Linked DNA regions of Tamandua tetradactyla. The protein of the gene in region 2 interacts with the protein of the main gene of each other region in a biochemical or structural test. Links are inferred from orthologs where the notes say so. Each region holds a gene or a part of one and is shown on either strand. Other genes may lie near its edges. The genes, in order: SETD7 and DNMT1.

Region 1 (8,684 bases), on a different chromosome or scaffold from region 2:
AAGTCATTTTTATTTCCTCTCAACCACCACAAATCATTCTTATAGATATGATATATTTCTTTGAAATTATATGAGGGACCATATCATATTCAACTTTGTATCTATGGAAAGACAAAGAAATATAGTAATAAATATTTCTGTTCACAAAGGCCCAGAGAGTAACGCTGGAAAACTAAGTATCACTCCCCAACTGACCCTCCCTTCCAGAACTCATCCATGCTCACTGCAGAACTTCCCTGAGCTATAATTCCACCTGGCAGAGAACCACAATGGATACCATGTGGCACAAGACATTTAAACTCAAGTCCTGAAGACACCAATTTCTTGCCCAGAGTAGATGACAAGGAAATTTTCCTTTAATAGGGAAGGATAAGAAGGAAAAGGATGTCTATTGCAGTCTATAAGTTAAATTCCTATTCTCCAAATATAATCTTCTGATTCATATTAATCCAAAGGAAAAACACTGAGAAGAGAGTTGAAACAGATGAATGACAGGTTGTAAATAAACAAACAAAAATTAATACTTTCGTACTAAAACTGTGTTTATTCAAATCTTTTCTCACGGAACTCTATCATAACCAACCTCTAAAGAGTTACAGTGATAATGAAACTGGTGTAATATTTAACTGCTCTTCCAAACTCAGGTACCATCTCTTTCATATACTTGACTCGCCCATTAAAATTTTTATAATGTAGAGAGACAACTGGTATGGTGCAATGAAATTCTGGAAGCTCCAAGCTTGTCTTGTCTCCTAGCTGAGTGCCCTTGGATTAGTTCTTAACTTCTCTATGGTCTGGTTCCCTCTCTGTAAAATTAGGATCCTATTAGTGCCCATCTCATAATAGTAACCGGACAGAAAATGTGTGAAACCACACTGAGACTGCACATCATAAGAACTAAACAATAATATAATTATTTTATTGATAATAATAGCTACGACAATGAACAGAGATTCTGTTTAGTATGTTCTCTACTGAGAACAGAGGTTCTGTTCACGGAGAGAGGTAGGCTACGTGGTACTTACACAGCAACATCTTCAGACTAGGTTCTCTTTAGGAAAAAGGAACAAGTAGTTTACAACATTCCCCCATGCACGTGTCAGTTGGTGAGAAGTAAAGTGCATTATACCCAGCAGTAAAAAGCCCAAGAGTGGCTGGAGAAAAAGTTGGGGGGTACAGTTTACTGCATGCTGGAGCTTGAGGGTCTCCCAAGGACTCTCAAAGACTCTGTGTTACACTTGTCATTATATTATTACAGGGAGGCACAGCTGAGTGACCACGTGTCCCAGACTGCCCCCACATTCAAGCTCTACCTCGTTGTCCCAGCATAATCATTCATAGCGCCTCTCTCATTCTCAATTTGTTTTTGTTTGTTTTTTAATTTCTTTTTTTTTTTGAATGTTCTAATTTGGACAATTATATATATGGTCCCTCTATGTAACTAGTAAGAACCTTCCAATCCACTGGACAATCTCAGCAACAACAATGCTACATTTCTAAGGCTACATTTCTAAGATTACATTCTGCAAATGAGGCAGAGGACCCTGGGACAACTTGACTTTGTTTCTAAACAGCTTCAAAGGGGAAGATGGTTTAGCCTGGGGAGCATCTCCAGTGCCCAAGGGTTTACATTACATTTTCACAAGTAAAATTAAACTTCCAAGGACAGCAAACCCTTACAACTTGAGAAGAGCCTTTTTCATTTTTCTTTCCTATCAGGGAGGCACAAGAAGCCAATAACTTTTAGATTCTAATAAGGCTTCCTATGGGTCAATTCAATGTCTCTGCCACCCAATAAACGCCCACATTCACTTTATTTATTAGAGAGGTAAATAGCTCTGTGGATTCACAGCATTGTGAATCTTTTTAATTAAAAAATTCTTTAAGTTGTCCTGGAAGCTAGATGAAGTAAGAAATTTTAATAGTTACATTAGAATGACATCTTTTAGAGAATTCAGAAATATTATTCTACTTAATTTCATCCTAAGACCTAGGAAACACTGCAAAAGGAGTTCAATTATCTTATATAAAAACATAAAAATCGATTTACTCTCAATGAGGAAACAACTATGTACTCGTGTGTATTAGCACAATGTCGCCACTTTGTTTTTCTTTACTGTTTGTTTTTCTTTACTTGTTTACACAGATTAGACAGAAGCCAGATACAGCCGATAGCTAAAAATTATTTGCTTAGACGCCTAGTTTAAAATATTCTGGAATAATACCACACAACATTGCAAAACATCACGACGTCCTGTCTGGGGTAGAACCAAATAAATAGGCTAAAGAGTATTTTCCAATATTCGCTGTTACAAAATCCTAACAGCTCACGACACAAACAACGAGATTGTATAACGTTCCACAAGGATTTCAGAACCGGCCAAAAAGAGGTGGAGAAACTCAGCAAAACAAAGTGGCGAGAAAAGTCGGGGGAGGGGCGCAGGAAGGGAAGGGGCGGAGAAACACGACACCGAGGCAGTGATATCACACACAGCCAACTGCATGGAATTCAGAAAGTTAAGTGTCACCCAGCAATTTCGGTCTGGGCTTGAGACGCGCCTGCACGGCGCGGCCGCCCGGGGTTGGGAAGCAGGCGGGGGAGGGGCGGCTGGCCCGGGTTCGCGCTCGGGGCAGCAGAGGGGAAGGGCCGGTCGCCTCCCGGCCCGCGCGCGATCGAGCCCCGGGTCGGGCCCGCCGTCCCTTGCCTTGCGATGATTTCATCTTCCCCGAGGAGCGCCCGCCCTGGCCGGGGCTGCCACGTGCCTGGCCCGACCCAGTGCGCTGCGCCAGGGGACCCGACCCGGCCGCGGCCGCTGCGGGGCGTGGGGGCGAGCGGAAGGAAAGGGCTGGCCACCTGCGAGGCTCGCCGCCGTCCTAAACGGGGCAGTGGGATTGCTCGGCGGGGACCACCGCTCTTGGGGGGCCCTTCCTGCGCACCCTCAACGCCCCCCCTCCCGCCCCCCAGACGCGAAAGGAGGAAGCCAGGGGAGAGCGCTCGGCAGGTTTTCGCAACTCCGAGGCGACTGCAGGCTGCGGCCGCCGGGCGGGAGGGAGCAGCCGTGCCCTCCCAGGGGGGCCCCGGCCCGGCCGAGTCCCGGGCCCGGCCTGCGCCTGCCGCGCCCCGCCGCGCAGCGCGCGCTCCCGGCGGCTCGGCCGTGGCTGTCCGGCCCCCGCCCGAGCCGGGCAGCGGGCCACCCGCCGAGCGAACCGCGGCAGCCGCGGGGCCCGGTGCCGCGCCGGCCGCAGCCCGTCACTCCTCCCGCTGCGTGTTCCCCAGCCTCGGAGAAAGGCTTGTACCTTCCACCGCCTCCTCCACCATCTCGTCGTCGCTATCCATGGCGACTGGGGACCCTGGCCAGCTCGGGGTCGCGCGGCTGCCGCCCGTCCCTCCCGGTGCTCCCGGCGGCTGAGCGAGCGCTGGGGCCGAGCCCTGCGAGTTTGGAGGAGGAGGAAGAGGAGGAGCAGTCGGGCTGGCTGGCACTCCCTCCCCCTACAGCCCTTTCAATTTCTTGGCCTTCAGCTGCTGCGGCAGCAACCGTCCCCCCTCCCTTCGCCCGCTGGCCCCTCGCCCTCGAGGCCCCGGGGTGCCGCTGCGGCCGCTGCCGCTGCTGCAACTTTCTCCTGCGATCCCCCCTCTTTGTTAGCGAGCAGCTGATCCGCTGACATCACCTCGCGCCGGTGCGCTCCCTCCCTCGCTGATTGACGGTTCCCGGTCCCTTCCCAGAAGTAAGGCTCCTGGAGACCCGAGGCGCTCGCGGGCCGCTCCCCCTGCGCCGCCGGGCCGAGCCCCGGGCCCCTCGGCGTCTGCCTTTGGCTTCTGCGCGACTTGGCGAGCTCCGAGCGCGCCACGCGGTCCTGGGCGCCGCGGGCTTCTCCCCTGCACGTGCGGCCCTCCGGGTCCCCGCCCTCGGGGGCGCTTAGAGCTCCGGACCCCCAGCCGGAGCAGGGGGCCAGGTTGGAAGTTGGCCGTGCAAGGGGTGCCCGCCGCCCCCCACCTCGGGACAGCCTCCGAAACGCAGGGGAAACAAAGGAAGCGTTTCGGACGCTCTGGCGCCTCGACTTCCTCTCGCCCTCTCCCCCCACTTCACCCCATTTGCCCTCGGAGCCGCGCGAGGGCTGCACGCTCGGCAGGGCAGGTGTCCCACGACACTGCTCCCCAGACTGGAGCGGGTGCCATCCGGAGCGACTCCGCCGGCCTGCGGGGACCACCCCATCCCGGCCAGGCCCCGCCCTCCTCGGGACCCCCGAGCGCCTCGGATGATTCGGAGGCGCGTCCAACCCAAAGGGCAGTGGGGTCTCTTCCAGGCAGGAAACAAGCCGCCGCGCGGGCAGGTGCCTCCCCGCCGCGGTGGGGATGGAAGATGGACCGCCCGGCGGAGCTAACGAGGAAGGACCCTCCGGCTCCCGCGCCCGCCCCCCTCGTGGCCCTCGCGGTACGGGTGATGGCCCCAACTGTCTCTCCCAAGTGTCAACCACCCCGCAGGCTGGGGCGTCTTCAATGGAGAAGACCAGTGGGCACCCGCTTCATAACGACAATGTCATTATGGCGCTGTCTTGGAAAGGTGGCGGTAAAGGGCGGCCGTAAATAGCTGGTTAAATGGGTGCAAATGTACGCAGTGTACCGTGGAATCCCAGCGTGCAGCTCTGGGCATCTGCCAGCACAGCTACCGCAGGGGCGCAGGGAGGGAGGTGGGAGAGCAAAGAAAGAAAGTTCCATTTTGTTTTCTGGAGGATGAGTGAGACTTTGGGGATTTCAAAATACTTCCAGCACGTGGAAGACCACGCCTTGCTTTTAGCTCTCTGCTTAAATCACAGTTTTGTTTGTTCTGTTTTTTTAAATGGAGTATTGCGTATTTTTGTTTTGTTTGAATTCATTCTTTTCTCTGTGAAAAAGGGAATAATGCCGAGGACTTTTGTCCCCATGCACGGCTAGGCATTTCAGTCCCTTTTGGCTGTGTTAGAAAGACAGGGAAGGGCCCTGGACCAGGGGGTCCACCCTTGCCAGCCTGAATTCCTCCCGCAGGAAGTAAGAGGCTTAGCGTCCACCCCCCCCACCCCCCCCCACCCCCGTGAGCTCCCTCCAGCTTAGGGTATACCACTCTGAGGTCCTTTGGCTTAGGTTAGACTAATCTGAGATTGGCTGGTTTTAGCTAGACGGCTCTGAAGCCCTCTGCATTAGGCGACACTGTCTGAAGTTCCGCGTGTATTTATCACCTCTCCCTTATGTATTACACTTGTGTGCAAAAACCCAGCAGACGCTCGTCTTTCTCCCTAAGTTTCCAGTTTATTTTCAGGGGCAAAGAAGATGCCAAAAGCTAAAGGAAGCAGCAAAAAGAATTCCTTTCTTCAAGGAGGCCAAGGCAAGGGGACGGTAGGTTGGAAGAAATCTCCCTCCAAACACGCAGTTGCACCACAGAGCATCCGGCCCATGGTGGGGTCGGCGTGGAGCGATTATTATGTCACAAGCATCCTGCCTCCATATTTAGGTTCAGAGGCAAGTTGTGCAACCCCTCCTAGGTGCTGTGAGGTTTTCCCAGCAGGTACTGTGTGTTCGATTGGCCAAGTGTTCCCTTTTACTTACCGCTTTGGAAACACCTGTATATGGCCCTCCTGGCTGAAGCAGGCCACCGCTGGATCTGCAGAGGGAGACGGGGATTGAGGTCTTCCTGGGAGAGTGGGCCATGGCAAGAATTACTTCCCTCACCATTCCTTCCTGCTGGCTCCCTGCCCAAAGCTTAGGCACAATGTTTTCATGACTTCCTTAAGACACACTTGCATTTTTACAAATCACTTTGCGTCTGCATTTTCAATCTCTCTCTCTAGACTGAGTCTTATTTATAGCTCCAGAACCCAATCCAGTGCCTGGTACAGAGAGAGAGTTAAGCACTGTCAGTGAGGATTCAGCAGATAGGAATATTCTGTTTTATATAAACAGAGCTGAATCTTTCTCACAGACCGGTTTCTCTTCCTGTGTTTTGGCAGAGCGCTTTGTTTCAGCTCAAGCCTGAGGAACATTTCTGAGTTGTTCTACTTTCCCACATCGACTGGCCCCAGATTGGCTTCCATCACATTCTTTCCCACAGTTTTCTTCATTGACAGCTCATTTCATAAACCCTCTTTCCACTTGGCTTCCCACCATTTCCCTCTGTCATCGTCTGTCCCCACCAGTGTGGTCATGGGCTGGAAAATCAATAAAACTCTTAATCAGCAGCAATGTACGGCAGTGGCGCAGCGGTGGCCGCAGCGGTGGCTCAGCCCCTAACCCCGGCATATCCCAGTGTGCCAGAACAGGCCCTGCCAGGGAGAAAAGGCACCTGCACAGGACGTCCAGGAACTCCTGGGGGTGGGCGTGCCTCCATGCACACACCGAGCAGTGACTTTTCCAAGCTGCCTCGGCTTAGCGTCCCTGCATCGAAAGATGTGTCCCCTCTCTTCACACTCTATTTGGGAAACGTAAGTCCCCCTTCGCCCACAGCAAGCAGTCAAAATACTAAGTTGATTTCATTCATTTTACCACCCTTGTCTTTCCCTGGAGAAGGCTGGTGCTTACTTACAAGACTGATATAACTCTTGTGGTAAATATGTTTTTACAGGCTGGATATGCGCCTTCCTACGTTTAGGGGAAACAATTCTGTCAGCTTATCGCTGTGTATATTAAGTACATTGCAGAAACCTGGTGGGTGTAGAACTTCTCCGTTAGTGTTGGCTGCTACTGACCCCTCATTCTGCACTACTGGTAGGGGCGGGAGGGGGCCGGGCAGACTTCCGGGTTTCGTGTTTCCAGGAGGAAGTACTCGCCAGGGGCTCAGCCAAAGGGAGTCTCGGGGGGCTCCCCCCCCCAGGTAACTGGTAGATCAGCGGCTGGTGTTCAGGTTTTGGTTTGTTCCGTTTGCTCACATCTCCATTAAGGAGACGAGGCAAAATGGATGAAGGAACTTTTAAATAAGCATCAATTCTTATTTTGGCACTGCTCACTTCTTAGCCAGCTTCTCCCCATTCCCCAAATTCACCAGTTTGAGTTTTCACCTTATCTGTTTGGGTTCCACCAAACACTAGCTGTGCATTGGGCAGTTAAGCTCTCTAGGCCTTAGTTTTCCCATCTGTAAATGACGAGGTTGGGCTACATACTTTCTAAGCCCAAACTTTCTCTGTCCACCTTTCCTGGGGAAAAGCTAAATGGAGCATGAAGAGCCCCAGGGTCCATGTATAGACAGAGGAAAGGGGAAGACTCCAGGGCAACTCTGGCAAACTGGATCATCTCAGTTTTTTAAAAAAATATTTTTACTGATAGATCTTAACATGCCAACGTTGCTTGTTTTCCAAACATGGTGTACAATCAGTGGCTCACAATATCATCACATAGTTGCGTATTCTTCACCATGACCAATTTTTAGAGCATTTGCATCAGTCCAGAAAAAGAAATAAAACAGAAAAAAGAAAAAACTCATACATACCATACCTCTTACTCTTCCCTCTTATTGACTACTAGTATTTCCATCTACCCAATTTATTTTAACCTTTGTTCCCAGTATTGTTTGTTTATTTTTATCCGTATTTTTAACTCATCTGTCCATACCCTAGGTAAAAGGAACATCAGGCACAAGGTTTTCAGAATCACACAGTCACATTGTAAAAGCTTTATCACAATACAATCGTCTTCAAGAAACAAGGCTACTGGAAAACAGCGCAACAGTTTCAGGTACTTCCCTCTAGTACTTCCCTCTAGCCACTCTAATATGCCATAAACTAAAAAGGGATATTTATATAATGCATAAGAATAACCTCTTGATTCTGTTTGCAATCTCTCAGCCACTGACACTTTTATTTCTTCTCATTTTTCTCTTTTCCCTTTTGGTCAAGAAGGTTTTCTCAATCCCTTGATGCCAGGTTCTGGCTCATCCTGGGATTTCTGTCCCACATTGCCAGGGAGAGTTACACCCCTGGGAGTCATGTCCCATGTAGGGGTGGGGGGAGGGCAGTGAGTTCACTTGCCATGTCAGCTTGAAGAAAGAGGTCACATCTGAGCAACAAAAGAAGTTCTCTGGGGGTGACTCTTAGGCTTAGTTTAAGTAGACTTAGCCTGTCCTTTGTAGGGATGAGTTTCATAGGGGTGAACCTCAAGATTGAGGATGTTCTAGTTGGCTAGCTGCCAGAATGTGACATACCAGAAACAGAATGGCTTTGCAAAAGGGGAATTTAATAAGCTGCGAGTTTACAGTTCTAAGGCCAAGAAAATGTCCCAGTGAAAACAAGTCTAGAGAAATGTCCGATCTAAGGCATCCAGGGAAAGATACCTTGGTTCAAGGATGCCGATGACATTCAGCATTTCTCTCTCAGCTGGAAAGGCACATGGTGAACATGGCGGTGTCTGCTAGTTTTCTCTCCAGGCTTCTCGTTTCATGAAGCTCGCCGGGAGGCGTTTTCCTTCTTCATCTCCAAAGGTTGCTGGCTGGTGGGCTCTGTGGTTCTCTTGTCCTTCTTTCGTTGTTTTGCACCTCTCTCCTCGTTCTCAAAAGGTCACTGGCTGGTGGACTCTCTGCTTCGTGGTTCTGAGGCGTTCTCTGCTATCTCAGAATCTCCAAAGGTCACTGGCTGGTGGGCTCTGTGGTTCTCTTGGCCTTGTGGCTCTCCTTGGCTCTGCTGTGGCTTTCTCATCATTCTCAAAAGGCATTCTCTCCAAAAAA
Region 2 (7,889 bases):
AGCACTTACTCATATTCAGTGTCTTCACTCTGCACCGGGCACCATTCATGTGCTACCCCCACCCCCCTGCATCCTATATGTTAACTCCACAGATACCTGCCTTCCCGCTGTGTGAGCCCTGGAGCCATTTAGCCAGGAACAAGGCAGATGAATCCTCTGGAGCTCATACTGTACGGCCCACAGGCACAACTTTATTTTATTTATTTTTGGGTGCATGGTCTGGGAATCGAATCTGGGCCTCCCACGTGGAAGGCAAGCATTCTACCACTGAAATTTTTTTTTTAATTTAAGAGAACAAACAATACGCTTTAGAGCCACCCAAAATGGATATCTTAGCTTAACCATAGGCATATTTAAATAAAGTATCCATGTAATCATTGTAAAACCTGTGTTTGCACAGTAAGTTTCATGAACTGATTTAAAATGAAGGCAACAGAGGAAAAAAATCTACAAATTCAGATAGCAAAGTTCTTATTTTCTGAATATTGAACACTAACTTAAATAGCATTTGATCAGCTGTCAAAACTGAATGCTCTCAAAATATCGAGTAGAAAGTTCTTACAAATATCTTCATTGCTATAGTCATGACCTATGTTACTAAACAATTTTCTCGATTTCAGGAAAATACGAAGATACAAATATTTTTACAATTAACATGAAAATCTTAACCACCTAAACTGGATATCTTAGTTAGCTTATTCATAAGCGTATTAAAAAAAAATCTAAGCAATCATAGTAAAGCCTGTTTGTACAATATGTTTCATAAGCCAATTTAAAATTAAAGCAAGCAAGGAAAAAAATCTGTGGATATTAGATTGCTATCTAGTTTCTTAAATTCTAAATATTAAACCCCCTATCTTAAATGCCATTTGATTAACTATCAAAGGGGTGCATCTTTTTGTTAATAAAAGTTTACTGCACTGCAGCCGTGGCTATGGTTTAGAACTGTCTATGGTGATTTTTTTAATTTTAATTTTTTATTTTCTCATTTAACTTTTTTATGGTGACTTTTGCGCTCTAAGGGCAGGAGCGAGACCATGTGGCCTGTGAAGCCAACTATTTTACTCTCTGGGCCTTTAAGGAAAAAGGTTGCTGACCCCTGCTCTAAGAGACCACAAGAGACAGTAAATAAGAGAATCTCTGATGATGATCAATGTGACGAAAAAAAGAGGGGAATGGAGCTGCTTTTGGGTGGCCAGAGGAGACCCTGGGTGGAGTTGGGTGGATCTCCCAGGAGACTGGTCTAGGAGGAGGGGGCAGCATAGGTTAAGCCTGTGATGCACGCAAGAGCTTGAAAGAGTAAAAGGGGGCCAAGTAAGCTGAGCTCAGTGAAGGGGGGAGGAGACCCTGTAAATGGAATAAAATACTTGGATTTCATTTCAAGGGCAATAGGAAGTTTTGGAAGATTTTACAGGAGAATGACATGTTCCAATTATTTTTATTCTTTTTTTAAAGCTCTCTGGTTGCACTGTGGAGAAGGGACTTTCCGGGACAGCTTGGAGCTGAGGAGGAAGCTGCTAGAATAGTCCAGGTAAATGAGGATGGCAGGCTGGGCTGGGGTGGCAGCAGAGGTGGTAAGGAGAAGGACTTGGGTTGCATTGCAGAGAAAAAACCAACAAGAGTAGCTCATTCTGTGAGGGCTGGCTTAGTTTGCTGGGGCTGCTGCGACAAATACAACACACTGGTTGGTTGGCTTAAAAACAGGGATTTATTGTCTCATGTTTTTTTTGAGGCTAGGAGTCCACAAACTGAAGTCTCGAGGCTGCACTTCTTCCTGGAGTCTGTAGTGTTCAGGTGGTAGCTTGCCACAATCCTTGGGGTTCCTTGGCATGCATTTCTGCCTCCGTCACATGGTCATCTGCTCATTTTCTGGCTTCCTCTGACTTCTGGCTTCTACTGACTGCCTACATCCAAATTGCCTCTGTTTGTAAGCCTCCAGTATATGGATTAAGACCACCCTGATTTAATTTGGCCTTAGCTGTGAAAAGGATGTTTGCAATTTGCAAATGAGTCCAAATCTTAACTAATAATACACCTTCAAAGGTCCTGTTTACAAAAAAAAACCAAACACATGGGGATGTGGATTGGGACTTGAACCTATCTTTTGTGGGGGAGGTGAGTGATTCAATCCCCAATGCACGGGGAGGAGAGAATTTAAAGATGGTGCCTGGCTTTTTGGCGTGAGCAGCTCGGGAGAAGACCACTGAGTTGGAAGTCGAGCTTTGACACGAACTTGCCATGGGCCCTTGGGCAAATCTTTTTTTTATGTCCCTGAGCCCTTGTCCCATCTGTAAAATGGGTCAAGTCATCCCTTCCTCACAAGGCTGGCAAAGGACCCAATAAATGCAGCTGTTCTCTCTGTCAAGTTGAGGCCCCTGAAATACAGGTCTGCTAGTCTGTTCCCCACCCGGCTTAGAGGCCTGGATGCTGGGTTCCAGCAGGACTGTGGGGCCTGAGCCTCACTCTGGCAACACTGTCTTCTACCTGCCATCCTGTCTGCCCTGCTACCTCCTTCATCTAGTTCTCCCAGTGCTGTCCTTTTAGCCTCCCAGGGGTCAGATGGCTGACCAACCCTGGGGTCACTGTTTTGCACTCAAGCTCTGGGTTCAGAGTTCCTTTTACTTACTGAATTTATGATCTTGGGTCCTCAGTTCTAGACCATGGGAAATGGGGTCCTAATATCTCCCTTTAGGGTTTGTTAAGGATTAAATTATATAACTCCTAATCAGTCTGGTATAGAATAGTACATAAATGCTGGTTACCTATAAAATTAATAACTATTAATTATACTCTTAGTATTATTATTCCGTCTTCTTGGATCTTGCCATGCATAGAATCTATAGCAACCAGAGGGCTTGAGGTCCACTTCTGGCCAGGCACGCTTCTCCTTCCCAGCTGCTAGGGTGCCTACAGTGTGTGTGCGCACGCGCGCGCGCATGTGTGCACACAAACACATTCACTTGTTAAATACCAAGAAAATGAAAAATTATACCACAATTTTAAAATTTTTTTATTAATGAAACCAATCAACATACACATGAACCTATTCTTAATGTATGAACATTCCATACTTGGTGTGCAATCAATGGCTCACAATATCATCACGGTTGTATATTCATCACCATGATCATTTCTCAGAACATTTACATCACTCCAGAAAAAGAAATAAAAAGTAAAAAGAAAAAACTCATATATACCATACCCCTTATCTCTCCCTTTTATTGACCACTAGTATTTCCCTCTACCTAATTTATTTTAACATTTGTTTCCCCCTATTTATTTATTTTTAATCCATATGTTTTACTCATCTGTCCATACGTATATAAAAGGAGCATCAGAACAAGGTTTTCACAATCACACAGTCTCTTTGCAAAAGCTATTATCACTGTGCAATCATCTTAAGAAACATGGCTACTGGAACACAGCTCTACAGTTTCAGGCACTTCTCTCTAGCTTCTCAGACACACCTTAATCTAAAAAGGTGATATCTATATAATGTGTAAGAATAACCTCCAGGATAACCTCTGGACTCTGTTTGGAATCTCTTAGCCATTGACACTTCATTTTGTCTCATTTCGCGCTCCCCCCTTTCAGTCCAGAAGGTTTTCTCAATCCCTTGGTGCCGAGTCCCAGCTCATTCTAGGATTTCTATCCCACATTCCCAGGAAGGTCCACACCCCTGGGAGTCATGTCCCACGTAGAGAGGGGGAGGGCAGTGAGTTTGCTTGTGTGTTGGCTGAGAGAGAGAGAGAGAGAGAGACAGACAGACCACATCTGAGCAATAGAAGAGTATACCAGAATTGTTAAGTTGACTTGGTTCTTTTTTAAAAAACAGGCTGTGGACGTGATCTCGCCCTCCCAGCACTACCAGGGTCCTTGGCGCCAGCTACATGTTCTGTGTATCCTACAGATTTTCTGGAGTAGGTGCTATTTAGCCCCGTTTTACAGGTGAGGAAACAGACTCAGTCCAAGTGACCCACCGCTCAAGGTCGCCTAGTGAGGAAAGAGATGGGGTTGAAAGCGAGGACTTTAACTCAAGGGCCTGCACGCTGGCTCGTAACCCCCTGAGGCTGCTCGCTACTTTATCCTCAGAAAGCCCGAAAGAATGAATGAATGAAAGTCTTGGGTAGGGCGCTCCCACCCGTTGCCAACGACGGAGCTTGGGCAGGCCCACTGCCCCGTGTAGGGGTGCGCGCCCGTCTCGCACATGCGCGGTGCCTGTGCACGGCTTTTCCGCCCGTACGTGGTACGGCCTCTCCGTATGGTACGTCCCGCTTTCCCCCTTGGGCAGGCCGGGGTGGTACACGCCGTCTCCCCTCGCCGCCCCTCCCAGTCGGTTTCCGCGCGAAAAGCCGGGGCCACCCGCCCGCGCTGCAGCCTCCGAGATGCCCGCCCGAACCGCCCCGGCTCGTGTGCCCACGCTGGCCTCCCCGGCCGTCTCACTGCCCGATGATGTCCGCAGGCGGTAAGTGTCGTGGGAGACTGCGTCCTCGGGGGCGGCCGGGGTGGGAGAGGTACGGCGCTGGAGGGGGGGTCGCTTCCCCTCGGGCCGGCTCGCGGCCGCCGCTGACAGGCGGACGCGCATGCGCGGGATGGCGCGGCGGGCGGCGGTTGGCGCGGTCAGGGTGGTACTTCCGGTCGCGCGTGCCCCTGGCCATTTGGCGCCAAAATGGGCTGTGGCCCCTCACGGCGCGCTGGCGGCTAGAAACGTGGGGTCTCTTTAGACATCCCCCCCCGCCCCGCAAAACGGAGCAAAACTGGGGGCTCACCTCGGGGGGTCTCCTTTTGCTGAGCAGCGGTGTTAGGCAGGGAGCGGCCCCCCCAGACCTCTGGACGCCCCTCAGCCCCGGCACTCTGGCCTCCACTTCCGGTGCCCAGTTGGGCCGGGGTCCGGCCGACCCGGTTCTCCGTGATTCGCACTGGGGAGACCCTTCGATTCCCCGCGCTGTGCATCCGGATGGCGGCCTCCAGAGACCGACGTCGCCGGTCGAGGCCCGGGCGAGGCCGGCTTAGGTTCGCGAGCCCGAGCCTTTCATGGGGGCTCTGTTCATTCCCTCGGGCTGTGCGGGTGTCGTCCGCCTCCTACCCGGCAGCGCAGGACCGGGACCGCGGAGCAGCTGGATAACGCGGACTGGTCCTTTCTAGGAAATCTGCTTGCCTGGGAGCCCTGGGCATCCAGGAAGCCTCGCTAAGCCAGAGGTGGCTGCAGTTTGCAGGGTGGCATCTAAAACAGGCCCCTTCCTGCCTGAGTTGGGTCCCCGGTGGACAGGGGTCGGTGGAAAGAGCATTTGGCCTCAGCCTCTTGTTTGTGGAGGGCATATCAAATTCACTCTTGGGAACCCCATTCCCGGGGCTGAAGGCTTCCACGCCAGATTTGTGAACCCAGCTTTGCCATTTCTCCTTTTCCCTGTGCTTATTTCCCACCCCATCCCCCAAGTCTAGTCCGTATTGTGGGGCCAGACCAATTCTGATTGGGGCTTTTGGAGGTGAGAGGTGTGTGTGTGTATGTGTTTAGGGGCCCTGGGGCTTCTGTACCAGTCATTTAAAGCTCAGCCCACTTTTTAACCACGGTTAGAGGGGATTTGTCTTGTCTGTTGCAGGAAATCAGGCTTCCCATCCTTCCCCAAGATATCCTGTTACTTAAAATGGAAATGAAATGATGAAAGTATCTACCTTCACAATGTGAGACCCACTAAATGAAATTTGGGCCCTGCCTTATTTTCCTTGATGATAACCCTCTCTCCACTGGCTTGCCTGTGACCTTGGGCAAATGTATGCTGCCTCTGCATCTGTAGAGTAGAATTAATAGTGTCGGCTTTAAGTGACATTATCGGTGCATAAAGGCATTAACATTGTTTTCACCTAATTTGCCTTACTTTTTTCAGTTCTGCTAATCAGTTACAAATTTCATGAAGTACTTTACTTTATCTCATTTAATCCTCAAGATCTTAAAAGCGGGTTTCTCAGGAATTTGCTATTAAGAAGCAGAGATTTGTGCTTAAGTCTGCAACTTGCCATAGCCTTTTTCCTTTGCCAAGTGGTTGCCAATGGCCCACTGACTCAGGGGGCTCTGTGGCCTGGTTGAGTGCTTTGTTTGAAATAAAACACCTATGGATGAGTCTAAACACTCACCAGTGCACCCCAGGTTCCATATAACTTTGGACTAGAATTGCCGCCTCTTGGTATGAAGTGATGACACCCACATTAGATCAAGTGATAGTCACTGAAATTATTAGCTTATGTGAACTTCTTAACAGCTTTTTGTTTACATTTTGAAGTATCTCACGGTACAAAAAAATAGACACATAAACATGACATTCAACAGTCCCTTAAACTTAGATTTTGTAAATGAATGTAAATTTTTTTTTTTTTTTGCATGGGCAGGCACTGGGAATGGAACCCGGGTCTCAGGCATAGCAGGCGAGAATTCTGCCACTGAGCCACTGTCACACTGCCCTCAAAGTACATTTTAACAAGCAGTTATAGAACAGATTTCAGGGTTTGTTATGGGTTACTATTCTACTATTTCAGATTTTACCTTCTAGCTGCTCCGAAACACTAGAGGCCAAAAGAAATATCAGTATTGTGATTCAGCAGTTATACTCATTTGTTAAATCCTTTTTTTTTGGTTATAACTCCTCCTTCTCCTTTGATCCTTCTCCCAGTCTATAGGGATGTTTGGGCTATGCCCATTCTGACTTTTTCATGTTGATTAGGGCTGTTAACAATAAGGGATAGGGGGTTGTAATTAGTTGATAATCTTGGAGAGGCTAGTGCCTCTGGGTTTCAGGACTTATCTGGCCCAAGAACCCTCTGAAAGTTATAGGTTTCGGGAAAATGAAGTTAGTGCATGAAACTTTTATAGTGTCTCAGAGTCCTAGGTGTTCTTAAGAGTTAACAGTAATGATGTTGGTTGGGGTTGGCAAACCATAGGAATTAGCAGTGTTTAGCTGAAGTTTGCATAAGAGTAGCCTCCAGAGTAGCTTCTGGACTCTGTTTGATCTCTCAGCCGCTGATACCTTATTTGTTATACTTCTTTTCCCCCTTTTGGTCAGGAAGGTATTGTCCATCTCACGGTGTGAGAGCAGACTCATCCCTAGGGGTCAGGCAGCTTCCTTTTTAAACTCCTTTTTAACTTCCTTTTTTAACTTGTAGTTCCATTAGATATCTAATGATACTAGAAAGTATTTCCAATATTTGTATTTCTAAACTTTTTGAAGTATAATATACCCAAGTCTTCTAAAATCATGCCTTTCAGGGCAAGCCACATTTTTCCCTGTGATTTTTCTTACTCTGCTCAAGCCACCATCACTTGTACCGAAATAGTGATAGTTTCCCACTTGTCTTCCTGAGTCAGATCTGTTTTCTAGAGTGGAAACTGTAGTCCTTAAAACCTAGGTTAGATCCAGTGGTTTTCCTGCCCCCCCCCGCCCCCCCATTGCGCACATGGTGTGAAGTCCAGAATCACCGTCTGCTTGCCTGCCTCATCCTGCGCTCTCTTCCCCAGCCACACAGGCCAGGCCACCTTTTAGCTTCTCAGCCTCTGACCCTGGCACAGGGAACGCCATGAGGCTGGCCTCCGCCTATCCCTTTCCCTCCCTCCGAAGGGTGTGGGATTCTGTCAGCATACCCAGCATGCTGCTTTTGCAGCCCTGAAGTTGATGATATTTCCAGGATTGTTGTCAGACCATGTTTACCTTTTTCCTCATATCTGCAGCTTACTTCACAGTAGGCTCTTAAACATTTGCATGTCAGACTTTCCCCTTTAAGGAAGCCTGGATTTATACCTTAATTGTGGTACCCTTCTTAGCTCAACTCTGATTAGCCTTTGCAATTATAGCTTTCTTCGCTCTGTGATTAGATTAAGATGGGTCTTGAAATTCTTAACT

What was found.
Region 1: of the proteins of DNMT1 (region 2) and SETD7, one has a biochemical effect on the other in vitro, tested with the Homo sapiens proteins (2 studies listed by BioGRID and IntAct, with this or other methods). The link is inferred for Tamandua tetradactyla from reciprocal best matches to the Homo sapiens genes DNMT1 and SETD7.

Annotation. Positions count from the first base shown.
Region 1 is NC_135348.1:28,466,154-28,474,837, reverse strand, and holds the start of SETD7 (histone-lysine N-methyltransferase SETD7), read right to left. Parts: upstream 3,547-8,684; 5' UTR 3,338-3,546; coding exon 3,298-3,337; intron 1-3,297. UniProt on the Homo sapiens protein: Histone methyltransferase that specifically monomethylates 'Lys-4' of histone H3. H3 'Lys-4' methylation represents a specific tag for epigenetic transcriptional activation.
Region 2 is NC_135337.1:91,553,124-91,561,012, forward strand, and holds the start of DNMT1 (DNA (cytosine-5)-methyltransferase 1), read left to right. Parts: upstream 1-4,290; 5' UTR 4,291-4,385; coding exon 4,386-4,465; intron 4,466-4,669; exon of another isoform or gene 4,670-4,957; coding exon of another isoform or gene 4,958-5,013; intron 5,014-7,889. UniProt on the Homo sapiens protein: Methylates CpG residues. Preferentially methylates hemimethylated DNA. Associates with DNA replication sites in S phase maintaining the methylation pattern in the newly synthesized strand, that is essential for epigenetic inheritance.